Linked DNA regions of Macaca fascicularis. The protein of the gene in region 1 interacts with the protein of each later gene in a pairwise test. Links are inferred from orthologs where the notes say so. Each region holds a gene or a part of one and is shown in the gene's direction. Other genes may lie near its edges. The genes, in order: C1H1orf216, NUP62, MYRIP and ODAD1.

Region 1 (8,013 bases):
GGGATTACAGGTGTGAGCCTCCACACCAGGCCCAATATAGGCTTTAAATCAATGTATATAATGTTTTGTACTTTGCAGCCAGAATGCATAGGAAGAAGAGGTAGAGGTGGTTGTGGCACCTTATATGATTGTACCAAAGGACTAAGAGTTTTGTTCCTGTCTCTGAGATTCTGGGTATTGCAGGTCAGAAGGTGATAGCATCAGCCGGGCATGGTGGTTCACGCCTGTAATCCCAGCACTTTGGGAGGTCGAGGCGGGCGGATCATTTGAGGTCAGGAGTTCGAGATCAGCCTGACCAACATGGTGAAACCCTGTCTGTGCTAAAAATACAAAAATTAGCTGGGTGTGATGGCACGTGCCTGTAATCCCAGCTACTCGGGAGGCTGAGGTAGGAGAATGGCTTGAACCTGGGAGGTGGAAGTTGCAGTGAGCTGAGATCACGCCACTGCACTCCAGCCTGGGTGACAGAGTGAAACTGTCTTGGGAAAAAAAAAAAAAAAAAAAAAAAAGATGGTGATAGCGTCGTGGGAGGAACGTTTCTAACCAAGAAACACAAAGATGATTCTCTTGGATTTCAGGCTCCTGGTAGTACTAGAGGAATAGAAGGGGGTGGTCACAGTGTAGACTGGACTGATAATGGCTCTCAAGGAGAAAGGGAGTTACTGCTACCTAATAAGGGTTGAGAGGTGGGTGAGTGGAACCCAGAGACCCTGGGGTCACCACCTTGTGCTATTGTATTAATCAGCATTCTTTTGATTGTCGGTGAAAGAATTCCACTCAAGTTAGGCTTGGCAAAATAAGGCACACAAAACTATAAATTTAGATTCAGGAAACAGGGTCTGCAACATTATCAGAACTTCTGTCTCTCATCTCTGTTTCTTCCCTGCCTCATCTTCCTTTAATTTCATTTCAGAAGATCCCAGACTCCGACTGGCTCACCTGGAGTGGAGTTCCTATCCCTTGATTCTTCAGGCTTTCATTTGACCCACATGGTTAAGCTGGGAGAGACAGAGTCCAAACAGAGGCAGAGAAAGGCTATTCTGGGCAGAACAAACAATTGATGACTTTATGGCTCTGTGGTCTGGGGAGAACTGCATAACCCTAGATCACCAAAGCTGAGAGCCTTTAAGAGTGAGGATTTGGGCCGGGCATAGTGGCTCACGCCTGTAATCCCAGCACTTTGGGAGGCTGAGGTGGGTGGATCACAAGGTCAGGAGATCAAGACCAATCTGACCAACATGGTGAAACCCCATCTCTACTAAAAATACAAAAATTAGCTGACGTGCTGATGCATACACCTGTAATCCCAGCTACTCGGGAGGCTGAGGCAAGAGAATCGCTTGAACCTGAGAGGCATACGTTGCGGTGAACCGAGATTGCACCACTGCACTCCAGCCTAGGCGACAGAGCGAGACTACATCTCAAAAAAACAAAAAAAACAACCAACAGTAAGGATTTGGATTTGGTCACCCCAGGCTGAAGGCCAGGGGAACCTGAAGTGGATAAGGGAAGGGAGAGAACTTAGGCCACAGGATCTGATGTAGAAATGAGGCTGACATCTCCACCTGTATTTTCTTAGCTGGAGGAGTGTGCAAAGTTTGAATTACTTCTGCCTTCTTCTTATTTCCTTTTCCCTCTTAAAATAGTCATCATAATCATAAAAATTTATTTTCCATTTTCCCTGTTTTTGCATATAGGATTTCTTGGTGTGATTCAATTTGCCAATTAGTATCTAGGTTGCAGAATGGTGACTTGCAATCAAGTTGAAACTGGAAGAGGGTACCTTATATATTAGGGTCAGCAATTACTAAACTCTGTTCTCTTTTATTCCAAACAGGGTCCCCAACTTCACATTTCCCCAGGGTGCAAAAGAGGGGGATCAAGCTTCAGTAGAGTGGAGCTCTGAGAAGAATTCACTAGAGTTTGGAAGCCAGGACCCTTTTTATAACCTTGTTCCTCCTCACCTGGGCAAAAGCACTAGTGCCCACTGCACAGGTGTCATGGACGGGCTCTGTGTCCTGTGGAGAGCCCCCATCCCAGGTACAGGACATCAGCCCTGGGACCTGTCCCAGGCTGGATCTTCTTCTTTCTCTCTCTCTTTTTTTTTTTGAGACAGAGTCCCACTCTGTTGCCCAGGCTGGAGTGTAGTGGTACAGTCTTGGCTCACTGCAACCTCCACCTCCCAGGTTCAAGCGATTCTCCTGCCTCAGCCTCCCGAGTACCTGGGATTACAGGCGCCCGCCACCACGCCCAGCTAATTTTCGTATTTTAGTAGAGACGGTGTTTCACCATGTTGGCCAGGCTGGTCTCGAACTCCTGACCTCAGGTGATCCGCCGGCCTCGGCCTTCCAAAGTGCTGGGATTACAGGCGTGAGCCACCGCGCCCGGTCTCAGTGACTTTAGTCAAGTAGCACAAAAAGAAATATATAATTCCAAATTGTGATAAATGCTATGAAGAAAAGGAACGTGCCCTGACATACAAGGGGGAACGAATGCGATCTAGGGAGTCAGAGATTTCTCCGAGGAGAGAGCTGAAATAGGAGTAAATCGAGAGGGGGAAGAGACTGCTAGACCGAGGGAACCGTGCGTGCCAAAGCCGCGTGGCAGAAAGGGGCGTGCGGGAGGGTAGCTGCGGAGAGGGAGGGTAGAGGACAAAGCCGGAGAGGCAGACGGAGGGCCGGACGCGCAGAGCCCCGCGGCTGCTGCCTTAGGGGTTGTCCCGGCTGTGGGGAAGTCATAGAGGAGTTTAAAGCCGGAAGGTGGTGACTAATCAGATTTCACTTGAAAATGGCACGGTGTCTGCAGTGAGGTGAACTGATGGGAAGGGCCCAGCGAACGCCAATAGGAGAGAGCACCGGACCTGAAAGGCCTGGTTCAACGCGGCCCCGCGCGGGGGCGAGGCGGTTCCGGCGCAGAGCCTAGCGCGCGGCTCCGCGGAAAACCCAACCGGCCCACGTGGGCCGGGCCGCTCCGCCCCGCCGCGCAGACGCCGCCTGACTCCGCAGTCCGGACCTGGGGCTGGGCGCGCTGCCCGGGAGCCCCGCACCCACCCTTGGACCGCGGAGACGCCCAGGCCGAGGAACCCCCAGCCCAGGGACTAGACACCACCAGGGCCGGGCGGAGCCATAGCCAGACGCGCCGGATCGGGCGCCTCTAGGCCGTGAGTCGGAGGCGGGGGGCTTGGGGCCCAGCCGCGGGAAGCGGGGAGTCACAGCGGCCTCCGAGGAGACTAGGGAAGGATTGGTCTCTGCCTCCTGGGGTGGTCTCCCACTCCCGCAAGGCCAGGAAAGGAGGCTGCCTCCTATTTGGGCGGAGACCTAGTCCTGGGGTGTCGGGGTTCCTATTTTACTATTTCTGAGAACCCTGTGATCCCTAGCGCCACCCCTACCCCATCCCAGCTTCCTTCATGGCCCCATCCAAGTATAGGAAAAATTAAAAATTGGGGCGAGGGGAGATCTGTAGGCACCTTCCCACAAGCCTTGCTTAGAGGGCGATTACAAAGGAACTGTTCCTACACCCTTCTCCCCAGGACTTCTGCCCGTTGCTGGGGGTGGGGAGGGTCCATGCCACCTATGGTGCGCCTCCCAGTGCCGGCTCCACTTACAATATCCTTCCTCTTCATGCTCTTAAATTGTTCTAATCCCAGTGCTGTTTGGTCAGTAGAATTCCTTTGTCAATTCAAATCCTAATTTTGGTTAGAAGCAGGTTATGGAGGAGAGAAGAGTGGTGTGGTATGCCCGCCCTCCAGGGCCTCAGGATGGAGCAAGCTAGGGACAGGGACACAAGATAGTGGCCGTGTTCCAGAGGCATTGGGAGGGAAGTGGGCAGGCTCAGAAGAAAAGCTTGTCACTGGGGAAGGCTGGGCTCCCTGGCTGGGGTAGGAGAGGGAACTGAACCCAGCTCTTCCAGCCCGGGGGAGTCGGGAGTAGCTTCCTGAGCATGGAAATTCACTGCAGTCTCTTCTCCCATTCACTCGCTTAGCAAGTACCAGTATGCACAGACAGCCTGGTTCCGGGCTCTATGCTGGCTGACTCTGGGGAATATGATGGAGGATATATAGGGGAGGTCCAAGCTAGATTACAAACTGCTATTACAAGATCATTGCCACAAACCAAAACTGCCAGTTAAATAGACATTCACTGATCGTCGACCATGTATGCCAGGGACAGACACAAAGTTGGATAAGACAGTGTGTACCCAGGGCAGTGGAGACCCAGAGGAAGGCATAACTAACCGTGCTTGTTTATGTAATATTGATTGCGGCAGTATCAAGACAGCTTCAGAGACATGGGTACATGGAGATATGGGGATATTACAGCTGATTTTGAAGTACAAAAAGGAATTTGCTGGGTGGAGAAGGGAGGAGCTTTGAGGGGAGGGGAGAGGAAGGATATTATAGGCCAAAGGAATACTGTAAGAAGGACAATGGTGTGTTTTGAGATCTCTGGGCAGTTTGCTATGATGGGAGGGACAGAGTGGCAAAAGGCAGGTGTGGAAGGGTGAGCAGAGGCTAGATCAAACAGGGCCTTGTAGGCCACATAGAGGTTTAGCAGGAGTTCAGGGAGGGCATTCTGAGTGGTGACAAGTGAAATTTACATTTGTAACTGGGGGCAGAGAGACCAGTGAAAAGGCCGAGGCAATAATCCAGGTCAGAAATGGCCTGGAAGAGGAAGAATGGTCAGAATGTGGTTATCAATGAGATGGGAGAAGGAAGGAGAGTGAGGAGCCCAGGATGCTCCTAGCCTTCTGGATGGAGGGTGGAGCCATCTTGCTGAGGATACTGAAGGAGAGCTTGTTTGGTTATATAGAATTTTGGTGGTGGGGGCGGGGGGTGGAGAGGGATGAAGTCTCACTCTGTCACCCAGGCTGGAGTGTGGTGGCACAATCTCAGTTCACTACAACCTCTGCCTCCTGGGTTCAAGCGCTTCCCAAATAGCTGGGATTACAGGTGCCTGTCACCACGCCTGGCTAATTTTTGTATTTTTAGTAGAGATGGGGTTTCACCATGTTGGCCAGTCTAGTCTCGAACTTCTGACCTCAGGTGATCTGCCTGCCTCGGCCTCCCAAAGTGCTGTGATTACAGGCATGAGCCACCGCACCCAGACTGGTTATGTAGAATTTGAGGAGCCTATGATTGGTTGCAGGGTTGGATAGCAGTTAGATCTGGGCTGAAGACAGATCTGAGAGTCATCAGCATATGATGGACCTTGAAGCTACAGCAGAGAATGAGGTCCTCTGGAGAGAAATGTGCAAAATCAGAAGACAGCCTGGCTCTGAGGACTGAGGAAAAACCCTCTGCAGGAGACTGAGAATGAACAGGTAGACAGGGAGGACGAAAACCGTGAGGGGAAGTGTCACCAGAGTCAAGAGAAAGGGCTTGACAGGGAGTGGTCGGGCTCTTGCTTTCAGCCTTGTCCCTGCAGCTAAGTTGCCCTGACTTCAGGCACCCCACCCTGTCCTACTGTGACTCAGTCTCCTGCTTTCCCTTTACAGACCAGATGTTCGCCATCCAGCCAGGGCTAGCTGAGGGGGGCCAATTCCTGGGGGACCCACCTCCTGGAGTATGTCAGCCCGAGCTCCAACCAGACAACAACTCCAACTTCATGGCAAGTGCCAAGGATGCTAATGAGAATTGGCATGGGATGCCAGGCAGAGTGGAACCTATCCTGAGGAGGAGCTCCTCTGAGTCGCCCTCTGACAACCAGGCCTTCCAGGCCCCTGGATCCCCTGAGGAAGGGGTGCGCAGCCCCCCAGAGGGGGCAGAGATTCCCGGGGCTGAGCCTGAGAAGATGGGTGGTCCTGGCACAGTCTGCTCCCCTCTGGAGGACAATGGCTATGCCAGCAGTTCCTTGAGTATCAACAGCCCTAGCAGCAGTCCTGAGCCTGCCTGTGGGACCCCGCGAGGCCTTGGCCCTCCCGATCCCCTTCTGCCCTCAGTGGCCCAGGCTGTGCAGCACTTACAAGCCCAGGAGCGCTACAAAGAGCAGGAGAAAGAAAAGCACCACGTGCACTTGGTGATGTACCGTCGCCTGGCACTGCTCCAGTGGATCCGGGGCCTGCAGCATCAGTTGATTGACCAGCAGGCCCGACTACAGGAGAGCTTCGACACCATCCTAGACAACCGGAAGGAGCTCATTCGCTGTCTCCAGCAGAGGGCAGCACCATCCAGGCCCCAGGACCAGGGCTAAGGGTGTGTCTCCACAAGTGTGCAAGGGTGTATGTGTATATTTGCAGGCATGTGTGAGGTTGTGCACTAGTAAGTACATAATTATTTGCTGGCATGATTGCAGGTAGGCATGAGTGTGTATGTGCTAACATGTAGGCTGGTGTGTATAGGAATGTGTGAATAAACATGTATAAATGAGCTTAAGTGTGCTGTGTGCACATGTGCACACACAAGCTAATTTATCTGCAGACCTATATGTGAGCATGTAAGAGTGAACATGTATGTGTGTAGTATGTAAGAAGAATGAGGAAATCTGTATGTGCGTGTGTAGACAGGTACCCAGCAGTGTGTGTATATGCACATGAGTGAGGATGTATATGCAGAAGATGTGTGTGTCTATGAGTGAGTTTGAGTGTGCAGGCTTGTGTTGGATGTATGTGAGGGAGCCCTTGTGTGTGCAGGGGTGCACGTGTGTGGCTGCAGGCATGGGAGGTGTATGTTAGGAGCATGTGTGTTTGCAGGCAGACTCATGAGCAGGTGTGTGCAAATACATATCCAGCTGCACTGTGGGGTATCCACCCACACCTTGTGTTCCTCATGGCCTACCGCAGCCTTTCTTCTCCACTGGGTCCCACTGTTCCCTGGAGACAGAGGGCTAGCATGCTATCATTTATCTGAGGGTTGTGGCTGACCCATTCTCCTGGGGTTTCCCAGGCCACCTCTTCTTTCCCTTTCCCTCACTTAGCCCAGACTTGCTCAGCTGAGGCTATCGTCCCTGATGTTGGCTTTGCTTGTAGGAGGTTTAGTGGCTGCTCTGGCCTGCTATGGCATTTTGGCTGCAATTTTGTCTGGCAGTGGGTGGAGAACTGGTATCAGGAAGGGGAACCGGGAGTAGTGATGGAGATGATGGTGGGGGTGGGGACAGAGAAGGACATAGGGGACTGTCCCTCTTGAACTCTGCCTTTGGGCACATGGGAGATGGGGACAGGGGAGATGACAATAGTGGAACCCTGTGAAGAATAGGAGAACGGGAATTCTAAAATACCAGTTCCCAAACAAACCATCTCTCCACTGGGAAAGGAGCTGTCGCAAACCCTGTTGATTTAAGCTTCTGATGAAAAGCAATGTATGTTAATAAGCCTGCAAGGAACAGACAAGATGTTCCAAAGCTGATGAGGAAAATATCGCTTCCCTGTCTCTGCCTCTACCTTGCTGTGCCTCTCTGGCTTTAGAAGCATTGGATGTCGAATTGGTTTGGTTCATTTCTCTGAAGTCGGACTGTCAGGAGGAGCCAGAGGTTGGCTTTCTGGGATGGGAAGGGGGCAGTGTCAGCCTAAGCCTCTGGAAATGCTTAGGATGCTGAATTTTAACCCCTTCTTTCACTGCATGGTCCTTCAAACAGGGATTGGCAGGCTCCGTGAGTTACAGAGTGGGTGAGCCTTGGAAAGAACCAACGACTAAGGTAGCTGAGCTCTCTTTTGTTCCTGGAAGCCAAGAGAATGCAAGATCCTGGTGGGTGAGCAGGGGTATGAAGAGGGGACACTGGTGGGTGAACAGTGGCATGGAAGTCACTGATGCAGCCTCTGGCCCTCAGTCTCCCTATCGGCAAAGTGGGGGGCTCTTCCTGTCTATCTCTAAAGAGTTTCATCCCTGACAGGTGGATGAGTGAAAGATCCAGGGAGTGGGGGTGAGGGGTGGGCCCTGAAGACTTTTTGTCTGTAGCTCTTACATATTGAGTGTGTAAACCCGGCCTTTGGACCAACGCAAGACAAATAAACTGGGGCAGAGAATTAAATTTCTTGAGTATGTGTTTTTCTTCTACCTGTTGTCTGGTGGCCTCTTTTCCA
Region 2 (6,893 bases), on another chromosome or scaffold:
GAGCTTGAGGCTGCAGTGAGTTGTGATATGTCACTGCATTCCAGCTGGTATGACAGAGCAAAACCCTTTCCCAAAAGAAAAAAAACACCCCTATCCAGCACTTCCTCTCACCCTTTCCTCACCATCCCGCTGATAGATGGCACCACTTGGAGATTTTTCGGTTAGACGTTACCAACATCAAGTCAGTTTGGACTGAAGGGAAATGTTTGGCCCATGGGGCTTCTCGGGGGCTCTTTATCTGTTCCCCACCCCATCCATCTCTGGTGGGGCTCATGGTCTCCGGTGATGTCCCAGTGTCTGCAGGTGGTTGAGAAGGTGTCCAAGGGTGGCCCAGGTGCAATCCCCTGCACCACACTTAGAGGCGAAGGAGGCAGCTGCCTTCTGAGCATGGAGAAAATCCCAGGGGAGGCTCTGATTGCCTGGCTCGGGTCTCAGTTTATCCTCGAGCCAGTCACTGTGGCCAGGGGCATCTGTGCTCTGAGCACATGGGTTTCAGACCCTCCCCTGAGTTAGGAGGGGCACGTCCTCTCCTGCTCTTAGAGAGTACAGGTGTGGGCCTGGGGGACCTTCAGCAGCCCGTATCCTGCCATCCAGCCTGGGTTCCCTGCCCCATCTCTCTCTCTCACGTCCAGAGAGGCCCTCAGGGTGGCAAGAGCTGATCCGCTCACACCCCGCTAGAGTCAGCCAGGGAACCTTACTGGGTCCCACGCTGGGAGCAGGTCCTACAGCTGTTCTTCTGTGTCCTAGTCCCGCTTGTGGCAGTGCCTCAAATCTGATCTCCTCGGGCTGAAGTGGGTCCAAGGTCCTGTTCTCCCGCCTCATCCTCCAGAGTGGGAACTTTCCACTGTGCTGAATGTGGCCATGCACGTCCCTAGCACCCCGACTCCTCGTACCTGACCCCTGGAGCGTGCATTTGTGCTTCTGGATCCTTCTCGATGTAGCAGAGTCTGGTTTAGGTTACACAGGACGAAGGGGGGTTGCTGCATGGTATCATAATCCCATCCCACCACCCTCCAAACCAGCCGTGCCCAGTCATGCCACTGGGCTTGCCTTTCCAAAACTGCCATCTGACAGTGTCACTTCCTTTGCTTTAGAAATATTCCCGAGGTCGCAGACGCCAGCGGATTTGCTTTGGGAGCCAGAGTAGCTGCCGCCACCAGAGTCCGGAGCCATGAGCGGGTTTAATTTTGGAGGCACTGGGGCCCCTACAGGTGGGTTCACATTTGGCACTGCAAAGACAGCGACAACCACACCTGCCACAGGGTTTTCTTTCTCCACCTCTGGCACTGGAGGGTTTAATTTTGGGGCTCCCTCCCAACCAACCACAAGTACCCCTTCCACCGGCCTGTTCTCACTCGCCACTCAGACTCCGGCCACACAGACAACAGGCTTCACTTTTGGAACAGCAACTCTTGCCTCGGGGGGAACTGGATTTTCTTTAGGGATCGGTGCTTCAAAGCTCAACTTGAGCAACACAGCTGCCACCCCAGCCATGGCAAACCCCAGTGGCTTTGGGCTGGGCAGCAGCAACCTCACTAATGCCATATCGAGCACTGTCACCTCCAGCCAGGGCACAGCACCCACTGGCTTTGTGTTTGGCCCCTCCACCACCTCTGTGGCTCCAGCCACCACATCTGGAGGCTTCTCATTCACTGGTGGAAGCATGGCCCAGCCCTCCGGTTTCAACATTGGCTCAGCGGGGAATTCAGCCCAGCCCACCGCACCTGCCACTCTGCCCTTTACTCCGGCCACGCCAGCAGCCACCACAGCAGGCGTCACGCAGCCAGCTGCTCCCACAGCCACAGCCACCACCACCGGTACTGGGCCCACCCTCTTTGCATCAATAGCAACCGCTCCAACCTCGTCTGCCACCACCGGACTCTCCCTCTGTACCCCTGCGACCACCGCGGGAGCCCCCGCTGCCGGGACACAGGGCTTCAGCTTAAAGGCACCTGGAGCAGCTTCGGGCGCCTCCACAGCAACATCCACCACTGCCACCGCCGCGGCCACCAGCAGCAGCAGCAGCACCACCGGCTTTGCCTTGAATTTAAAACCACTGGCGCCAGCTGGGATCCCCAGCAATACGGCAGCCGCTGTGACTGCTCCACCTGGCCCTGGTGCAGCTGCAGGGGCGGCCGCCAGCTCCGCCATGACCTACGCGCAGCTGGAGAGCCTGATCAACAAATGGAGCCTGGAGCTAGAGGACCAGGAGCGGCACTTCCTCCAGCAGGCCACCCAGGTCAACGCCTGGGACCGCACGCTGATCGAGAACGGGGAGAAGATCACCAGCCTGCACCGCGAGGTGGAGAAGGTGAAGCTGGACCAGAAGAGGCTGGACCAGGAGCTCGACTTCATCCTGTCCCAGCAGAAGGAGCTGGAAGACCTGCTGAGCCCGCTGGAGGAGTTGGTAAAGGAGCAGAGCGGAACCATCTACCTGCAGCACGCGGATGAGGAGCGCGAGAAAACCTACAAGCTGGCCGAGAACATCGACGCGCAGCTCAAGCGCATGGCTCAGGACCTCAAGGACATCATCGAGCACCTGAATACGTCCGGGGCCCCCGCCGACACCAGCGACCCGCTGCAGCAGATCTGCAAGATCCTCAACGCGCACATGGGCTCGCTGCAGTGGATCGACCAGAACTCGGCCCTGCTGCAGAGGAAGGTGGAGGAGGTGACCAAGGTGTGCGAGGGCCGGCGCAAGGAGCAGGAGCGCAGCTTCCGCATCACCTTCGACTGAGCGACAGCAGGGCCCTGGGAGTTCCATGCGGGGAACGCGCCCTGTTGTCTAGTTTGGGGTTGTGGCAAGATACATGTTTCTTTCTTTCACGTGACTGCCTTTGAGACAATTGCTGTGTGCTTTGCCTTTTTCCATGTAGGAAGTATTCTGAGCCCTCTGCCCAGGCAGCAGCCTCATGGGTGTGGCTTCTGTGGCTTTTATTTGAGTGTCTTTGGCCCCTTTCCAGCCACTGCGACCGCCCACCTCATCCTGGCTCGACCTGGTGATGGAGACGCAGTGGTGGTCTTGGTCCCAGCCAGGGTCGCGGGGACAGCTGCTCTCTCCAAAGCGTAGTCATAGGTGTCATGAAAAAATACCAAATGTAAGAGAACCTCCAAAGCCTGCAGGGCGCAGTGGCTCACGCCTGTAATCTCAGCAATTTGGGTGGCTGAGGCAGGCCGATCACTTGAGGTCAGGAGTTCAAGACCAGCCTGACCAACATGGTGAAACCCGTGTCTACTAAAAATACAAAAATTAGCCAGGTGTGGTGGGTGCCTGTGATCTCAGCTACTCGGGAGGCTGAGGCAGGAGAATCACTTGAACCTGGGAGGTGTTGCAGTGAGCCAGGATCACACCACTGCACTCCAGCCTGGCAACAGAGACTGTCTCAAAAAAAAAAAAAAAAAGCGTCCCAGGAGACAGCAGCCTAAGTTTTGGAGTAGGAGGTGTGTGCCTGTGAAAGCTAACCACCAAGACAAAGCAGCACAGTGTGAATAGAACAAACAGTGGGATCGAGAATTGCACAGAAGACAGGTCAGCTGAGGGGCCTACACACAGAGGCCTGCCTTTTGCCTGGCCCAGGCTTACCCCCACCTCTGGGCCTCACCTCCTCCAGGAAGCCTTCCCAGCTACCCAAAGCTCAGGTGGCCTTCTTGCAGGTCCCCGTAGCACCCTGAGCCTGTACCTTGGGTAACACTTGCTATGCTGTCCTGTGCTAGCCGTTTGCGTCCGTCTCGCGGTTAGATTGTGAGCTCCCACGGGCAGAGACCCACTGTTGTTCCCCTGTATGTCCCCAGCCCAGTCCAACAAATGTGACTGGGACATTTATTAAATGAAAGAACAATGAAGCCCGGCATAACAACAGTCCACAGAAATAGCCACAGCTGCCAGTGGTGGCCACGGACATGGCTCTGAACTTCCTGGCACCAGAGTGACTCTAGTCAGTTACAGTAAAATCCACTGTGTGTGGAAGGCAGAAGCCAGCAGTTGTATCCCAAGTGTCTTTTGTATTTGTCTTTATCCTTTGCTGCATTCTCTGAAATACCTATTACTGTATGTTGCTTTTCTAAATAAATGTATTGTGAAACCAAAAAGGCTGCTAATATGGATAAATGTTAGGAGGAGAAACTTGAGTAAAAAGAGCAGCTTTCAGGAGACTCTGCAGGGGTGTCATTCACGTGAAACGCAGGGGCAAGCAGTGCTTGCATAGACACAGGAGCATGTGATGAAGCAGCTTTTGTTTGATGAGACGGAGTAATAGAAAATGCAAATTGTGGTTTGCTCCGGGAAGGGGTGGTGCCTGGTGGTAGAAGAGGAACACGCGAGTGAAGCCACCACGGGGAGTGGGCCCTTGGTGTTTGTGACTGTTATGTCATAGAATATACACAAATATGGCTGGGCGAGGTGGCTCACACCTGTAATCCCAGTACTTTGGGAGGCCGAGATAGGTGAACACTTGAGGTCAGGGATTCAAGACCAGCCTGGGCAACATGGTGAAACCCATCTCTACCAACTACAAAAAAGTTGGTTGTGCATGCTGGCACGCACCTGTGTCTCAGCTGCCTGGGAGGCTGAGGTGGGAGGATCATTTAAGCCCAGGTATTAGAGGCTGCAGTGAGCCGTGATCTGCCACTGCACTCCAGCCTGGGCGACAGAGCAAGACACTGTCTCAAAAAACACACGTTAAGTCATCTAGCCCCATCCCTAAGGCGCTAGTCCAGTGGCTACAGACGGCATGGGCAGCATTCCTTCCTGGCACCTGGGGCTAAAGACACAGGCCCCATGCTCTTCCTCTGCCCTGCAGCCTCGCCCTGTGGACTGGAATGGTCCTAAGCACTCAGATCTTCTGGGCTGTGGGGAGTGTACCCCTTCGGCCTCCCTCAACCTGTTCATGTCAATCTGTGGGCCACGCTTGGAAGATTTATGGCCCAGGTTCCAAAAGTCTCCCGAAGTCATCATCATGAGTCATTATTTCCTTGGACCGGCTGGGCGCGGTGGCTTACACCTGTAATCCTAGCACTTTGGGAGGCCAAGGCTGGCAGAACACCTGAGGTCGGGGGTTCGAGACCAGCCTGACCAACATGGAGAAACCCCATCTCTACTAAAAATACAAACATTAGCTGGTGGCTAATTAGGTGGTGGGCGCCTGTAATCCCAACTACTCGGGAGGCTGAGGCAGGAGAACCGCTTGAACCCAGGAGGTGGAGGTTACAGTAAGCCGAGATCATGCCATTGCACTCCAGCCTAGATAAAGCGAAACTATGTCCCAAATGAATAAAATTTCCTTGGGCCATCTTGGGCTCTGAAGGACAGGAGTTGTGTCTAAGTAGAAGCCATGGGTGTGTGTGGTGGGCATGGTAAACCAGAGGAAGACCCCACAACCCCAGCTACTTCTCTCTGAAAGCTGTCACCTACAGCAGGGACCTCTGTGCAGTTCATAGGCCTTGACTCATGCTGCCCCCTCTGCCGGAAGGGAGGGCTTGAGTCCCCTTAGGAGGCAGGAAGCAGTTTGCATTTTACCTACATTTGTGCCTTCAGCATCTATTTTCAGAGCTGGTCCTGATGTGGTGCTGGAGGTACCAAAAAATGCCCACAAAGAGGTCGTTGGCAGGGTCCACACAATCATGACGAGAAAAATTTGAGCATATATTTCCAAAGTCTATATGTATATTTTCCTATTATTTTGCATACTATTTCCTATTTTGCATATTAAAGCTTAGCAATGCTTAATTGCTTTCTTACAGTTACATTTTTAAAATAAGAACAGATTCCAGCTTTGGGAGGCCGAGGCAGGCAGATCACCTGAGGTCAGGAGTTTCAGACCAGCCTAGCCAACATGGTGAAACCCCATCTCTTCTAAAAATACAAAAACTAGGGTCCGGGCATGGTGGCTCACGCCTGTAATCCCAGCACTGTGGGAGGCTGAAGTGGGTGGATCACAAGATCAGGAGACTGAGACCATCTTGGCTAACACAGTGAATATCTCTACTAAAAATATAAAAAAATTAGCTGGGTGTGGTGGCGGGCGCCTGTAGTCCCAGCTACTCAGAGAGACTGAGGCAGGAGAAGGGCGTGAACCCGGGAGGCGGAGCTTGCAGTGAGCAGAGATGGTGCCACCGCACTCCAGCCTGGGCGACAGAGCAAGACTCCGTGTCAAAAACATAAAAAATAAATAACTAATACAAACATTAGCCAGACGTGGTGGCGGGTGCCTGTAATCCCAGCTCCTCACGAGGATCACTTGAACCTGGGAGGCGGAGGTTGCAGTGAGCCGAGATCACGTCATTGCACTCCAGCCTGGGCGACAAAAGTTACACTCCGTCTCAAAAAATACGAAAATTAAGTTCTACATTTTCTTCCCATACCCCAAGGGATCTTGAGCACCCCACTCTGAATAACACAAGGGATTCCATTAAATCAGGGGCTCTGCCCCAAAGCCATGTGGGAAATGGTCCCAACAGGCCTCCTGGGGGAGTCTAGGAGGGATCCCAAGATCGCAGCACCAGCAACTGACTGGGTGCCACCGAGGGTGATGGCTCCGTTGTAATTTCAATTTCCCTTTCCAGGAAGAAAATACACAGACGTGCTTCCTTGCCAGTCCCGACAAATGGCCTTTCCTTAAGTTCCTCATTAATTAATATGAAGACAACATATTTGGTGACTAAATTTGGAATCAGAGGCTTTTAAAGGTGAATCTCAGCTCTTACTGCTTTGCTTTTCCCTGTTTAGGGATAAGAGTGGCAAATGGGGCCGGGCGCGGTGGCTCAAGCCTGTAATCCCAGCACTTTGGGAGGCCGATACGGGCAGATCACAAGGTCAGGAGATCGACGCCATCCTGGTTAACACGGTGAAACCCCGTCTCTACTAAAAAATACAAAAAAACTAGCTGGGCGAGGTG
Region 3 (7,338 bases), on another chromosome or scaffold:
TCCAGGAATTGACCTCACATTTCTCAGACTTTAGTCTATTGTTCTGTCTTTGACTCCATATTGCCTGCAAAGAAGGTATGGGAAGAAAGTTGGGGTTGGTAGCAATGCTGCACCAGAAATCAGTGTGAGAAGAAAAAAGCAATGGGTCAAAAATGTTAGCATTATTGTGGGAACTCATGAGTCCCTAAACCTATTTGCAAGGCTAACAACCCAAGTGTGTAATAGCAGTCTGCCAGTTCAGTGACACAGGGCATCAGTGTTCACTGAAGACCTTTGATAATCATATTCATTCTCTTCTCCCACTCCTACCCTGCCAGGAGGAAGCCTTTTTGAGTCAAACCTGGAGAATGAAGGAAGCATTTCTGGCAGTGATTCAACATTTTATAGGCAGTCAGAAGGTAAATTTGCTTAAGAGTTTACAGCTACTGGGAAGTTGGAGGAATAGAAACACCTACAGGTACAGGTACTGCCAGGGCCCGCCAGGTGCATTGTTACCCCAGATGCAACTATCTACTACTACGTGTGAGTCTCCCTGGGTCACTTATTATTGCCAATTGCATGAATCCATCATATGGCCATCCAAAGTGTGGCCAAGGGAACAGCATTCATTCCCAACCATGGATACTTTACAGTCAACTAGTAAATATTCTTCTGGAGTTGGAACATATCAATCAACCCACTCACTTGTGCATCTCTTATTAAAATATTCCCTTAAAGAAGGTATCATTTACTGATTAAATTCTACTTTTTTATACCAATATAATTGCCCCCTTAGAGCAGTGGTTAAAAGCAAAACAAACTTCTAATTTCAAATAAAACTTTATCACTTCAATTCTTTGTCTGAAGTAATGGACATTGATAATCAGTGCCCCCTGAATTGCCTTCCTCCTGTGACCCCCACAGCTCATCTGTACCCTCTATTCTCTCTTTGGGGGCTGTGATGGTTAATTTTGTGTGTCAAAATTAACTGGGCTAAGGGATGCCCAGATAGCTGGTAAAACTTTATTTCTAGGTTTGTCTGTGAAGGTATTTCTGGAAGAGAATAGCATTTGAATCATAGACTGAGAAAAGAAGATCTACCCTCATCAGTATGAGTAGGTGTCATCCAATCCATTGAAAGCCCAGATAGAACTGAAATGCAGAGGAAAGGTGAATTTACTGTCCCTCTTCTGAAGCTGGGACATCCATCTTCACCTGCCCTCAGACATCAGAGCTTCTGATTCTTGGGCCTTCTAACTCAGGACTTAAACCAGCAGCTCCCCCATTCCACAGCCCTTCACATTTGGACTGAATTATACCACTGCTCTTATGGGTCTCCAGCTTGCACACAGCATATCATGGAACTTCTCAGCCTCCTTCATCACATGAGCCAATTCCCATCATAGATCTCCTATTTTATATCTATATATATCCCATTGGTTCTGTTTCTCTGAAGAACCCTAATACAGGTGCCTTCTCATGAAAATTCTGTCCACTGTTATCCTTATTACCTGCAGCTCCTCCATAGGTTACCACACACCATTGTACGACCTCAAGTGCACCTCCATTTGCTGCTGAGCCAGAAATGCCCAACCTTGATTTCATCCCAGAGTTCTAGGCTCAGATTTCTAATGCTTGGCCATTAGCACCTGAAGATCCTATAGGGTTCTTAACCCCAACTTGTCCTAGTCAAGCTCTTTAGCCACTTAGGTCCACCAGTGAGAGATATGTTTCCTTCAGTCCCTCTCCTCATTTCCCCCAAGCTACAAAAGTACTTGTCAGCCCTGTTTTCAATCTTACCCTTTTCTCTCCATTCTAAACCCCTATCCTTCATACCTCTCTGCCCGAAACTCTCTGGTATTAGTGTTAATTTCAGTGGCCATCTGTATCAGCAGGGTTCTCCAATACACTAAATATATATGTATGTACATGCACACACACACACACACACACACACAGATTCCTTTTAAGGAATTGGCTCATGCAGTTGCAGGGGACTGGCAAGCCCCAAACATACAGGGTAGGCCAGCAGGTTGAAAACTCAGACAGGAGTTGCTGCTTCAGGCTTCAAGCTGAATTTCTCCTCTAGGAAACTTCAGTTTTTGCTCTTAAGGCCTTTCAAAGGATTGAATAAGACACACCCACATTGTGGAGGACAACTCTTACATGAAGTCAACTGATTGTAGATGTTAACGACATCTAAAGAATACCTTCACGGTAACACCTGGACTAGTGTTTGATTAAATAACTGGGTACTATAGCCTAGCCACATTGACACATTGACCATCCCACCATCTAGCTGGTCTTCTGAACTTTGGCCACTTTACCTTCTTAATCTTACCCCCAACCCTTGCCAACCTTTCTCTCTGAAACACTGACCTGAACCTTCACTTTTTACCCAGAGTTCCACATCACTTTCATCTAAGAATTATAATCATAGCATCCAAAGCCTTCCTAGTTACAGCTCCAGGTGCCTACCTTCCAGGAGTCTACACGGATAGTTATGCATGTCTCTTAGTGGTTACTTATATGTCTAATCACCCAATATCTTGGAAGGTACATGAAAGCATGGACTCAGCTTGTCCATCAGGTTGTCACTGGGGCCATCACAGAGCCTAGCACACAAACGGTACTCAGTAAACATTTGTTTGATTCAACAAAAATTTGTACTATTTTCTGTGAAAAATACGTTGGTGACTATCTTGAAGAAGAGAGAGGGGAGATACAGTGTCTACCACCAGGGAGCTCTTAGTGTGTGTGATGACAATTTATATCATGTAGGCTCTAGTTATCAAAACATTGGAAAGACTGTGCTACCTGGTGGTGTGCAGAGCCCTGGGCCGAGCTGCCCCTATGTGGCTCTATCATGACTGTCATAGCTGGCTTGTGACATACTCATCAGCTAGCTAGATCACTTTGACCTTAAGTGGATTGTTTAGAGACTTTATTATGTTTGCCAAATGATACTTTCTGTCTACATCTGTGTCCTTAAGAGTCTAAGAAGCTTGAATTATTTTTTAATTGAGTAGTTAATGAATTGATGTATTCACACCCTGTTTCATTCCACAAAGAATTTTCAACAGCTTACAGGAGATTTGCATGTGTTAAATAATATATGAGTAGGAGACGATAAATGGAAACAGGAGTTTGAAATTGGGGAAAAGGAGACCCAGGTACCCAGCCCTTGCTGACCTACATTCCTGCATGTGATGTGACTTGGACTTCTAGGGAAAACTAAGAGAAGGATGATAGAAATTCTCACAAGTAAGAAGCTAAAATCTAGGATCTCAAGGGAAACAGAACTTTTCCCAGCACTTAGCTCCAAAAAGAACTCTTCACTTGGGGAAGTCCTTTATTTTCTCTCATTTGTTGCCATGTCTTAAAAAAAAAAATGTCCACTAAAAATATGGTAGCACGATATTTTTAAATCATGTTAGCTTGTATTCGTGTCAGTTTTGTGATTAAAATCAAGGGCTTTGAATTGGAAGGAATTTGGAATGGAATCCAAATTCAAATTCAAAGGAATTGGAATCCAACTGGATTCAAATCTTAGCCTTCTTGTCTTGCTGTGTACCTTGGGTGAGTTATTTAACCACTCTGTGCTTGAAATTTACCATCTGTAAAATTGTACCTATATGGCACCTACTTACCACTGGATTTTTGACAGAATTAACTGTGATCATGTATGTGAAACTCTGGGCCTGGGGCCTGCCATGTGGCTATGGCCAATGTTGTTAATACTGGTTGATAGTCTAAAAAATTAAACCATAGAGTTTATATCTGCACTAAGTCATATGCACAGCCCAATGTCCTTAGTACATTTAATAACATTTTCCCCATCATCACAATAATACATTATATGGACAAAATAAAGCATAATCTTTATCTGAGAAAGTGGATGAAGAACCATTATTTCCTTATATTAAGCCCTTTTGTTCAGTCATCTTTAAGCCACTCTGTGTGCTTGGACCAGTGCTTCATTTTTGTATGATCATATTCATACAACAATGAATGTGATCAATTCTCGTTCTCTGAAAGTGACCTGTGGGAAGGGGCCGGGGCATGGAGCCTTTCTGGATGATGAAAGCAAGCCCAGAACCTGGGACAGACCTCAAGCAAAGGGTGAGGCTGAAGGGATTTGGGAAGATTTGTTAGAGGAGGAATTTTTGGGCCAAGCCTTGGGGTCCATGGGAACCAGCTCAGTTATGGAGCACGAGACTAGGAGGGAGGAGGAATGAGACAGCAGGCATGAAATAATCAAATAATTTGTTGCATATGGGGCTCGGGATGTGAATGATGCATGGGAGGCAGTTGTGAGGCAGGTGGAAAGGGCGAGGGCTTTGTGCGCTATGGTAAGCAGCTGAGAACTTATCCCAGAGCCCTTGAAGAATTTAAGCAGAAGAGCTTGAACGGTCATTTTACTCATCATTCCCTTTTAGAAATGCTCTTTGTACTGTTTCCTGTCTAGGACATAGTGTGATGGACACCTTGGCTGTGGCCCTACGGGTGGCTGAAGAGGCCATTGAGGAAGCAATTTCCAAAGCAGAAGCATATGGGGACAGCCTGGTAGGACCCCTCCTGCTCCTCTCTGTGGGGGGAGGTGTGGGTTGGGGTCCTGGCTGCCAGGAGAAAGTGCAGATTGTCAGGAAATCAGTGTCTCAGCAGCTCTGACTAGAGCAGGGCCCTCCCTCTGCTTTTGTGGTCAGGATTCTCCTTGCAAAGTGATTGCCGAGTCAACCCAAGTCCACCCACAGCACACAGCCATTCTCTTCCCTCCGCAGGACAAGCAAAACGAAGCCAGTTACCTGCGGGACCACAAGGAGGAGCTAACCGAGGAACTGGCCACGACAATCTTGCAGAAGGTAGGTGGGCCCTGGCAGTGGGATGGCTGCAGTTTCCTGGCTGGGCCCGGAGTAGGGACTCTGGCAAGTAGCAGATGAAACATGAGGAGTGTCTCTGGTACTGTATCTTCTGTGCCTTCTCACTTTAGCCTTTTGTGCCCTGCGGACCCATGTAGAGGGAATGTATTGCACTGCTCTGCAGTCACTCCTGCTAGCTCCGTGCCCTATGCTGTCCCTTGCACAGTGTACCTGTCAATTACTTCTGAGAAACCAACCACCCCAAAACTCTGTGGCTTCTGACAAGGATCTTTCTGTCTTCCACAACCAATTCTCCAGCACCAACTGAGAACTGAAATTCCATTCAGATACTAACTTCTTCCTGCAGTTAGTGCAGACCCCACATTTAAGGGCCCAGTCCCACAAGACTGCCACTACTTCAGACACCAGCCACAAGTTTCAGGTATCCCCAAGCCACCACACTTCTCCTTACCCTGCTACAAATTTGGGAGTTTCCACGACCCTGGACCCTCAATTCAATGATTTGCTAGAACTCACAGAACTCAGAAAACTGCTTTACTTACCATTACCAGTTTAAAATAAAGGGTACAGGTGAACGGCCAGATGAAGAGATACAGAGAGCAGCAGGGTCTGGGGACAGGATGTACAGAGCTCCCATGCCCTCTCTGTGAACATCACTCCACCAACACATCGATGTATGTACCAACTAGGAAGGTTTCTGTGCCTTGTTGCATCAGAGTTTTTAGCCAGGTTTCAGTATGTAGGCATGATTGATTAAATGATTGATTACCTGATTGAACGCACTCTCTAGTCTTTCTGCTCCGAGCCCTCTAATCATGCACTGTAGTTGGCTTTTCTGGCAACCTGCCGCCATCCTGAAGTTATCTAGGGACCTCACCTTGAATCACCTTGTTAGTATAACAAAGACACTCCTAACACTCGAATCATTGCAAATGTTTTTTGAAACTGTGCCAGGAAATGGGGACAAAGACCAAATACAGACGCCCCTGAACTTACAGTGGATGGGGTTAAGTCCAGATAGTAACCCCATCCTAAGTTGAAGGTATCAGAAGTCAAAATGCATTCAATACACCTAACATACTCTTAATATATCCTAGCTTAGCCTAGCCTATCGTAGATGTACTCAGAACTTGCATTAGCCTATAACAGGTCAGAATCATCTAACTCAAAGCCTATTTTATAATAGTGTTTAATAGCTCATATAATTTATGGAATGCCGTCCTGAATACACAGCGCTTTCCCACCATCGTAAAGTCCAAAAATCCTAAGTCAAGGACTATCTGTATATATGTTTTGTTATGCCACAATTTACTTCTTGCTCACACATCTGCAGTGGCTGCACTTCCAGCTGTGGGTTGGGACAAAGTCGGCTGCAGCATGTTCACTCTGGGTCCCAACTGAGGGCACATCAGCTGCCTGTGGCCATGACAGGAGCACAAGCCAGCAAGAGGAAGCACACAGTGCTTATTAAGGCCGAGGCTTAGCTCTGGCTTACAGTTACTGACTCCCTCCTCTCATCTCATTGGCCAGAGCAAGTCACACATCGAGTCCAAAGCCAAGGGCTGGGATGTAGAATCTCCCTATACTAGGAGGGTCTGCAGAGTCACACAACAAAGTGCTGTATGCAGGAAGTGTTGAAAAACTTCAGTCTTCCCTTTTGGTCACAATAATTCATATCCCTTCCATATGCCAAGTAGACTCACCACACCCAAAGACCCCCAAATGTCTCATCCCATCACAATTCAAAGTACATTTGATCCAATTTTAGCTCCTTTTTAGCTGGAGATCTGTAAACTAAGCAAACGAATGATCTCCGCCCCATGTACCCAACATGCAATGTTTGAAGAGGGACAAAGAGACAGCACTGGCCCCACCTACCTGCAGAGGGGAAGAATGGGAGGCACTGGGGGTCACTGGTCCTCAGCAATTCTGAAATCCTGCTGGGCAACATGGCTGGGTCCCCACCCTGCCAGGGGAGATGGCACCTCAGTTCATTGTTCTCTGGGCTCTCAACCTCCCTTTTTATCCTCCTGTCTGGCCTAAAGGAACATTGAAGAATATGCCCATCTTGGTGGCTTAGCACATTTCTTGACTGCTTCCTGCCTATAGGAAGTTGAAAGCCCAGAGACCTTGGTACAGATGGACTCACTAGGTCCAAATGACTGTGCAAATGAGCTGGATCTGGAGCCATTCTGGTGACTCTTGATGTCTAGCCCCTTGATAGGGCTTCCAGATGCTTCCTAAAGTCAGGACTTACAACCAGAGGCTCTGGGTTTGAAATCCAGCTCCACCATTTATGAGCTATGTAGCCTTATCCAATAACTTAGTGTCTCTGAGCCTGTTTCCTCATCTATAAAATGGAAAGAATTACAGTATGTACCTTCTAGAATTAAGTGAGGTAAAGCTTACACAATACCTAACGTGAGGTCTGAAACATGCTAGGCACTTAATAAATAGAAGAAGCTGTTAACATCATAAA
Region 4 (7,338 bases), on another chromosome or scaffold:
TCCAGCCTGGGCAGCAGAGCAAGACTCCGTCTCAAAAAAAAAAAAAAAAAAAAAAAAAAATTCTAGGCCAGGTGAGATGGCTCACGCCTGTAATCCCAGCACTTTGGGAGGCCGAGGTGGGCGGATCACGAGGTCAGGAGATCAAGACCATCCTGGCTAACACAGAGAAACCCCGTCTCTACTAAAAATACAAATATATATATATTAGCCAGGCGTAGTGGCAGGTGCCTGTAGTCTCAGCTACTGCCCAGCCGGGAGGCTGAGGCAGGAGAATGGCGTGAACCCGGGGGGCGGAGCTTGCAGTGAGCTGAGATCGCGCCACTACACTGCAGCCTGGGCAACAAAGTGAGACTCCGTCTCAAAAAAAAAAAAAAAAAAAAAAAATTCTGGAAAATGCAAACCAATCTATAGTGACGGAAAACAGATGAGTGATTGCTGGGGGGAGACTTGACTGCAGGAAGAGAATGAGGTGAGGAACTACAAAAGGGCACGAGGAAACTTTTAGGGGTGATGGATATTTTCACTATTTTATGTCAAAACATATCAAATTATACAGTTTGTTTGTTTATTTATTTATTTATTTAGAGATAGAGTCTCGTTCTGTCACCCAGGCTGGAGTGCAGTGGCGCAATCTCAGCTCACTGCAATCTCCACCTCCCAGGTTCAAGCAATTCTTCTGCCTCAGCCTCCCGGGTAGTTGGGACTACAGGTGCCCGCCACCGTGCCTGGCTGATTTCATATTTTTAGTAGAGACAGGGTTTTGCCATGTTGGCCAGGCTGGTATTGAACTCCTGACCTCAGGTGATCTGCCCACCTCGGCCTCCCAAAGTGCTGGGATTACAGGTGTGAGCCACCGTGCCCAGCCCAAATTGTACACTAAATATGTGCAGTTTTACTGTATGTCATCTATTCTTTAATAAAGCAATTATTGAGACAGGAGGATTGCTTGAGTCTGGCCTGGGAGGTGGAGGCTGCAGTGAGCTTTGATGGTACCACTGTACTCAGCCTGGGTGACAGAGTGAGACCCTGTCTCTAAAAAAAAAAAAAGAAAAAAAAGGAAGAAAATTTTTTGGGATTCATGTGCAGTTGAAAAAATGCAGAGTTATCCCTTGTACACTTTGTTGCATTTTCCCCCAGTGTCAACATTTTGGGTATTTCTTTTTCTTTTCTTTTTCGAGGTGGAGTCTTGCCCAGTCACCCAAGCTGGAGTGCAGTGGTGCAATCTTGGCTCTTTGCAGTCTCCACCTCCCAGGCCAGGCTCAAGTGATTGTCGTGCCTCAGCCACCCGAGTAGCTGGGATTACAGGCACGTGCCATTACGCCCAGTTAAGTTTTGTATTTTTAGTAGAGACGAGGTTTCACCATGTTGGCCAGACTAGTCTCGAACTCCTTACCTCAGGTGATCCACTCACCTCGGCCTTCCAAAGTGCTGGGATTACAGGCATGAGCCACTGTGCCTGGCCAACATATGAGTTTTTACGGGACATGATTAAACCCATAACAGAGTACAAATTGAAGTGTTAAGCAATTCATTTGTCTGTTTAGTCTGCATGTTATGTTGAATACCTTCTTTGTCTCAGACACGGAGAAAACACAAGACTCTCTGTCCTCATGGAACCCCCAGTTTGCTTGGAGACACACAGCACACCCCAATAAGTACCGATGAATACAGAAATGAGGACAGATTGGAAGCTGGTTTTAGGCATAAGCAGACCCAGGGATACTAATGTCATTGGGTTCGTTCTCACCATCTCTCCAACTCTCATCTCCACTTCTGTCCACTGGCCTCATCCTCCCAGGATCCTCCCTGTGGTGGGGCTATGACAGCAGAAGTCCTGGAATCCCACCCTTCCATCTCATGTGCTTCCCCCAGACTATCAGGAAACGAGTCAGAGCTGGGCGCCGTGACTCTTGCCTGTAATCCCAGCACTTTGGGAGGCCAAGGCGGGTGGATCACTTGAGGTCAGGAGTTCGAGACCAGCCCAGCCAACATGGCGAAACCCCATCTCTACTAAAAATACAAAAATTAGCTGGGTGTGGTGTACGTGCCTGTAATCCCAGCTATTCGGGAGGTTGAGGCACGAGAATTGCTTGAGCCTGGGAGGTGGAGGTTGCAGTGAGCCAAGATCACGCCACTGCACACTCCAGCCTGGGCGACAGAGCAAGACTCTGTCTCATTAAAAAAAAAAAAGAAACGAGTCAGGCTGGCTCTATGGGGTCGCGTTCCCATCTCTAGGCCAGTCCCTGTGAGTGTCCAGACCTGGGTCATGTGGCTGACAGGGTGACACACTGGGTGGAAGGCCCACCAGAACCACATGGAGGGCTGGATAGTGTCAGCAGAAGGGTAGATGTTATTCTGGGGCTACAGGGACAGCAGATGTCTGCCATGCTTAGTGACTCATTTTCCCTCGGCCATTCAATCTCTCCCACATTCAGGCAACCATAAACGGGTACCGTCCTCTTTCTTCTAGATCCAGGAGTGGGAGACACGGATCTTTACCCACAGTAAGAATGTCAGGTCCTCGGGATTCGTCCTGGATCAGAAGGTCAAGATCGGGCGAAGGATCAGGATCCTAGAAGACCAGTTGGACAGGGTGAGGGTCAGCCTCCTGGTCCCTCGACCTGAATTGCGGGGTTATGGGAAGAACGGGGCATGGTCGTTGGGTTCTGGAAATGGTGGACAGTGTGTGCACATGTGTGTCAGGACACAGGATTCTGGAGGGATGGAGGTTTCCAAGGAAAGGAGACTGATGGGTCCTTAGAGGGGAGTGGACATTGATTTCAGGAACCCCAAAGAACCGATGTTTCTCAGGAAACAGGCCGGCCCCACCTCTGATAAGCATCTCCTCCTTGGCTGAGCTTGGAGGAGACAGGCGGGCCTGGCCTCAGACCCACTCTTCCATCCGCCTTTCTACTCCCAGGTCATCTGTCACTTTGACAACCAGCTGGTGCGGAACGCGGCCCTGCGGGAGGAGCTGGATCTGCTGCGGATCGACAGGAACCGCTATCTGAACATGGACCGCAAGCTGAAGAAGGTCAGTGGCCCTGAAATCCAGGGGAGGAGAGAGGGACCCCTGCCCAGGTCCTCCCCACAGCTGTTTGCCCTTCCTGCTCTAGCACTCAGGCCTCAAGTATGGAATTGACTACAGCTGTAGGCTTGCTTTAGTCCAGAAGGCATGGAGGCCTGGGAAATGTTGGAGGACACTTCCAACAAAAAGTGGCCTCATTTATAGTTGTAGAAAGCAGAGTGTCATTCTGAATAGTATTACCCAGGGCAATCTATTGCCTGACTATTGCAAGACCATTTATTATACATTCCACGGGGATCTTTTGAAGAACCAGCCCTGTCCCGTCTCTTTTGACTTTCTTTCTTTCTGTCTTTCTTTCTTTCTCTCTCTCTTTCTCTTTCTCTTCTCTTCTCTTTTCTTTTGTTTTGTTGGAGTCTTACTCTGTCACCCAGACTGGAGCACAGTGAGGTGATCTGGGCTCACTGCAGCCTGTGCCTCCCAGATTCAAGCAATTCTCGTGCACCAGCCTCCTGAGGACCTGGGACTACAGGCGTGCACCACCACGCCTAGCTAATTAAAACGATTTTTCTTTTTTTTTTTTTTTGAGACGGAGTCTCACTCTGTTGCGCAGGCTGGAGTGCAGTGGTGCGATCTTGGCTCACTGCAAGCTCCGCCTCCCGGGTTCACGCCATTCTCCTGCCTCAGCCTCCTGAGTAGCTGGGACTACAGGTGACTGCCACCGCGCCTGGCTAATTTTTTGTATTTTTAGTAGAGACAGGGTTTCACCGTATTAGCCAGGATGGTCTCGATCTCCTGACCTCATGATCTGCCCGCCTTGGCCTCCCAAAATGCTGGGATTACAGGTGTGAGCCACTGCACCTGGCCGATTTTTTTTTTTTTTGGTATGGACAGGGTTTCACCATGTTGCCCAGGCTGGTCTTGAGCTCTGGAGCTCAGGCAGTTCGCCTGCCTCAGCCTCCCAAAGTGCTGGGATTAGAAGCATGAGCCACTGCGTCTGGTCTTGACTTTCATTTTGAAATAATTTCAAGTTATAGAAAAGGTGCGAGAATTGTACAAATAACTCCTATATATCTTTCACCAAGTTTGATAATTTGCCACATTTATTCTCTTTCTCCCCAACTCTTACTATTTGTGTGTGTAATTATTGTTTTGCTGAAAATAATTTATTATCCTGATTGCTGAACTGTTTGACAATATGTTGTCGACATTATGCTCCTAAGTACTTTAGTGAGCATTTCCTAAGAACAACGCCATTTACTTAGTGCTGTTATCCAAGTCAGGGACATTAGCATTGTTAGAATTCTAAATAGTCCATATTTCAAGGCACTGATTGTCCCAATGATGTCCTTTACAGTGAACTTGATTTTCCTGCTCTAGGCTCTGGTCCAGAATGCCACGTTGCATTTGGTTGTTCTGGCTCTGTTCATCTGGGTCAGTCCCTTGGGCTTTTTTTTCTCCATGACGTTGACATTTTGGAAGCATCCAGGCTGGTTGTGTTGTGCAATGTCCCCTGACACGGGTTTATCTGGTCTTTTTTTTTTTTTTTTTTTTTTGAGACGAAGTTTTACTCTTGTCGCCCAGGCTGGAGTGCAATGGTGCGATCTCGGCTCACTACAACCTCCACCTCCCGGGTTCAAGTGATTCTCCTGCCTCAGCCTTCTGAGTAGCTGGGATTACAGGTACCTGCCACCACGCCTGGCTAATTTTGTATTTTTAGTAGAGACAGGGTTTCTCCATGTTGGTCAGGCTGGTCTCGAACTCCTGACCTCAGGTGATAAGCCCGCCTCAGCCTCCCAGAGTTCCGGGATTACAGGCGTGAGCCACCGCGCCCGGCCGGTTTCTCTGATCTTTCTTCATTATTAGACTTGGTGTCTGCACTTTGGGGGGAATGTCACAGCAGTGATAGTGTGTCCTTCCTGTGCAGGATCTCAGGAGGCACCTGATGTCAGCTTGTCCCATGACTAGTGGTGTTGTCTTTGGTCACTTGGCTAGCCAGGTTTTTGCAATGGAGAGTTTTCCTTTTCGTAGTGAATATGTGGTCCGTGGGGAGATTCTCTGAGACTGCGTAAATATCTTGTCCCCTGACACACCTTCACTCAATCATTTTTTTACGGGATCTTTCGGGCGTCACTTTTCTGGCTGGAAACCTCCTTGGCCAGTGGTGCCTTTGCCCGAGTTCTTGTCCTGTGTCCAGGAAGAAGGAGGTAGGCAGACAAGTGGAGAGGAGCAAGATGAAGAGGAGCTTTATCGAGTGTTAAGACAGCTCAGAGGAGGCCGGGCGCGGTGGCTCAAGCCTGTAATCCCAGCACTTTGGGAGGCCGAGGCGGGTGGATCACGAGGTCAGGAGATCGAGACTATCCTGGCTAACATGGTGAAACCCCGTCTCTACTAAAAATACAAAAAACTAGCCGGGCGTGGTGGCGGGCGCCTGTAGTCTCAGCTACTTGGGAGGCTGAGGCGGGAGAATAGCGTGAACCCGGGAGGCGGAGCTTGCAGTGAGCTGAGATCACGCCACTGCACTCCAGCCTGGGAGACACAGCGAGACTCCGTCTCAAAAAAAAAAAAAAAAAAGACAGCTCAGAGGAGACCTGCAGGGGGCAGTTCCTCTGTAGGCAGGTGGTCTCGTCTAGTGTTCAGCTATCAGCCGTGAGGAGGCCCTGGAGAGGGTGGCTCCTCTCCGCAGGCAGGTTGTTCAGATGTCTGCAGGCCTGTGAAGCTCTCAGCAGAGAGGGTAGCTCCATGGGTGGCCATGGGCAGGCCTGGAGGAGACGCTGCAAGTCCCCACTCGTTCTGCAGTACTGGTAACCTGGCCCCCAGACGTCAGGCCCTCCCTGGCCTAAAGGAGGGACCTTACCGGGGACCTGCCCTCTTCTGCCCAGGAATGTGTCTGCCTCCTGCTGCCATTCATGGCACTGGGCTGGACCCCAACCCCTCTCTGAGATCAGAGTGGGTGCAAGAGAGGAGAGAGGCCGAGCAGCAGGAGCAGACACCTCTGAGCCTGCAGGGATCGGGGGGTGCTTTCCTGGGCTTCTGAGGGTGCAGGCTGCAGAGAACTTCAGAGATGCCTAGGTCCTGTGGTTGGGAGGGTGGCCGCAGCGGCGCTCCGGGAGCTCCCACCCTGCCAACTCGGAAGGGGCAGGACCCTCGCTTGTGCCCGGCTGCTGCCTGCTCCGTGGAGCAGAAGGCCTGGGTCTGCAACTGTGGTTCAGATGGCTACAGCTGCATCCGGGGAGCTCCCACCCCAACTCAGAAGGGGCAGGGCTCCCACCGGCTGCATGGAGTGTGCAGCCCCAGCCAGCAGCTACTGCCATCAATTTTAGCATCCATGAATGATTCTTCCCTGAACGGTTATTACTGTAATGGCTGCAAAAGGGTGATTTAAAAAAACTCTATCATTTCTCCCACATTTATAAGATGGCATTTTCCTTAAGGAAACATTTCTCAGCCGGGGGCGGTGGCTCATGCCTGTAATTCCAGCACTTTGGGAGGCTGAGGCAGGCAGATCACCTGAAGTCAGGAGTTTGAGACCAGTCTGGCTAACATGGTGAAACCCCATTTCTACTAAAAATACAAAAAAGTAGCTGGGCGTGGTGGCGTGCACCTGTAATCCCAGCTACTTGGGAGGCTGAGGCAGGAGATCACTTGAACCAGGGAGCCGGAGGGTGCAGCGAGCCAAGATTGCGCCATTGCACTCCAGCTTGGGCAATAAGAGTGAAACTCCGTCTCATTAAAAAAAAAAAAAAAAAAAGGAAAAACTTCTCTTTCTCCTTGTCAGTGAGCATGAATGTATTGTGACTTCATAGATGACAATCTGTAACTGCCATTCGTTTTAGTGTTCAAATTGCCCCAGATTTGGTTGGGGGGGCCCCTTCACGCTGGCTCCTGTGGCCTTTGGACACACCCCCTCACTTTTGGGGAGTACTTCCTCACTCTCTGGCACGGGAAGATAGCCGAGGTAATCTGGACCTTGTTCTGCCCCATCCCTGGGGTCGGCCGTTGTTCTGAGGAGTCCGATTCTTTCTGGGGAAGAGTAGGTGTGGAGGCACTAAGAGAGTTCGTCGCTACTTGGGTGTCATTGCTTTGAGGCCCTTTCTCTGGAGAGAGCTAGGAAGCACACATATTTTATATGTTTTAAAATTCTATTTAGTTTTTGTAGAGATGGGGTCTCACTGTGTTGTCCAGGCTGCTCTCAATCTCTTGGGCTCAAGTGATTCCCCTGCCTTGGCCTCACAAAGTGTTGGGATTACAGGCATGAGCCACTGCGCCTGGCTGACATATTTTACAATAGTGAGTTCACGTTGATTCCTCTG

Evidence for each region.
Region 2: the proteins of C1H1orf216 (region 1) and NUP62 interact in binary tests that used the Homo sapiens proteins (3 or more experiments, as listed by UniProt). The two-hybrid records come from large-scale screens. The link is inferred for Macaca fascicularis from reciprocal best matches to the Homo sapiens genes C1orf216 and NUP62.
Region 3: the proteins of C1H1orf216 (region 1) and MYRIP interact in binary tests that used the Homo sapiens proteins (3 or more experiments, as listed by UniProt). The two-hybrid records come from large-scale screens. The link is inferred for Macaca fascicularis from reciprocal best matches to the Homo sapiens genes C1orf216 and MYRIP.
Region 4: the proteins of C1H1orf216 (region 1) and ODAD1 interact in binary tests that used the Homo sapiens proteins (3 or more experiments, as listed by UniProt). The two-hybrid records come from large-scale screens. The link is inferred for Macaca fascicularis from reciprocal best matches to the Homo sapiens genes C1orf216 and ODAD1.

Annotation. Positions count from the first base shown.
Region 1 is NC_088375.1:199,232,069-199,240,081, forward strand, and holds C1H1orf216 (UPF0500 protein C1orf216 homolog), read left to right. Parts: upstream 1-2,982; 5' UTR 2,983-3,160; intron 3,161-5,144; 5' UTR 5,145-5,319; intron 5,320-5,493; 5' UTR 5,494-5,498; coding exon 5,499-6,188; 3' UTR 6,189-6,190; exon of another isoform or gene 6,191-7,568; 3' UTR 7,569-7,961; downstream 7,962-8,013.
Region 2 is NC_088393.1:57,887,983-57,894,875, reverse strand, and holds the end of NUP62 (nuclear pore glycoprotein p62), read left to right. Parts: intron 1-1,094; 5' UTR 1,095-1,171; coding exon 1,172-2,737; 3' UTR 2,738-4,089; downstream 4,090-6,893. UniProt on the Homo sapiens protein: Essential component of the nuclear pore complex. The N-terminal is probably involved in nucleocytoplasmic transport.
Region 3 is NC_088376.1:103,015,112-103,022,449, forward strand, and holds part of MYRIP (rab effector MyRIP), read left to right. Parts: intron 1-317; coding exon 318-398; intron 399-4,447; coding exon 4,448-4,545; intron 4,546-4,760; coding exon 4,761-4,841; intron 4,842-7,338. UniProt on the Homo sapiens protein: Rab effector protein involved in melanosome transport. Serves as link between melanosome-bound RAB27A and the motor proteins MYO5A and MYO7A. May link RAB27A-containing vesicles to actin filaments. Functions as a protein kinase A-anchoring protein (AKAP).
Region 4 is NC_088393.1:56,296,531-56,303,868, reverse strand, and holds part of ODAD1 (outer dynein arm-docking complex subunit 1), read left to right. Parts: intron 1-2,470; coding exon 2,471-2,593; intron 2,594-2,920; coding exon 2,921-3,034; intron 3,035-4,581; exon of another isoform or gene 4,582-4,707; intron 4,708-7,338. UniProt on the Homo sapiens protein: Component of the outer dynein arm-docking complex (ODA-DC) that mediates outer dynein arms (ODA) binding onto the doublet microtubule. Involved in mediating assembly of both ODAs and their axonemal docking complex onto ciliary microtubules.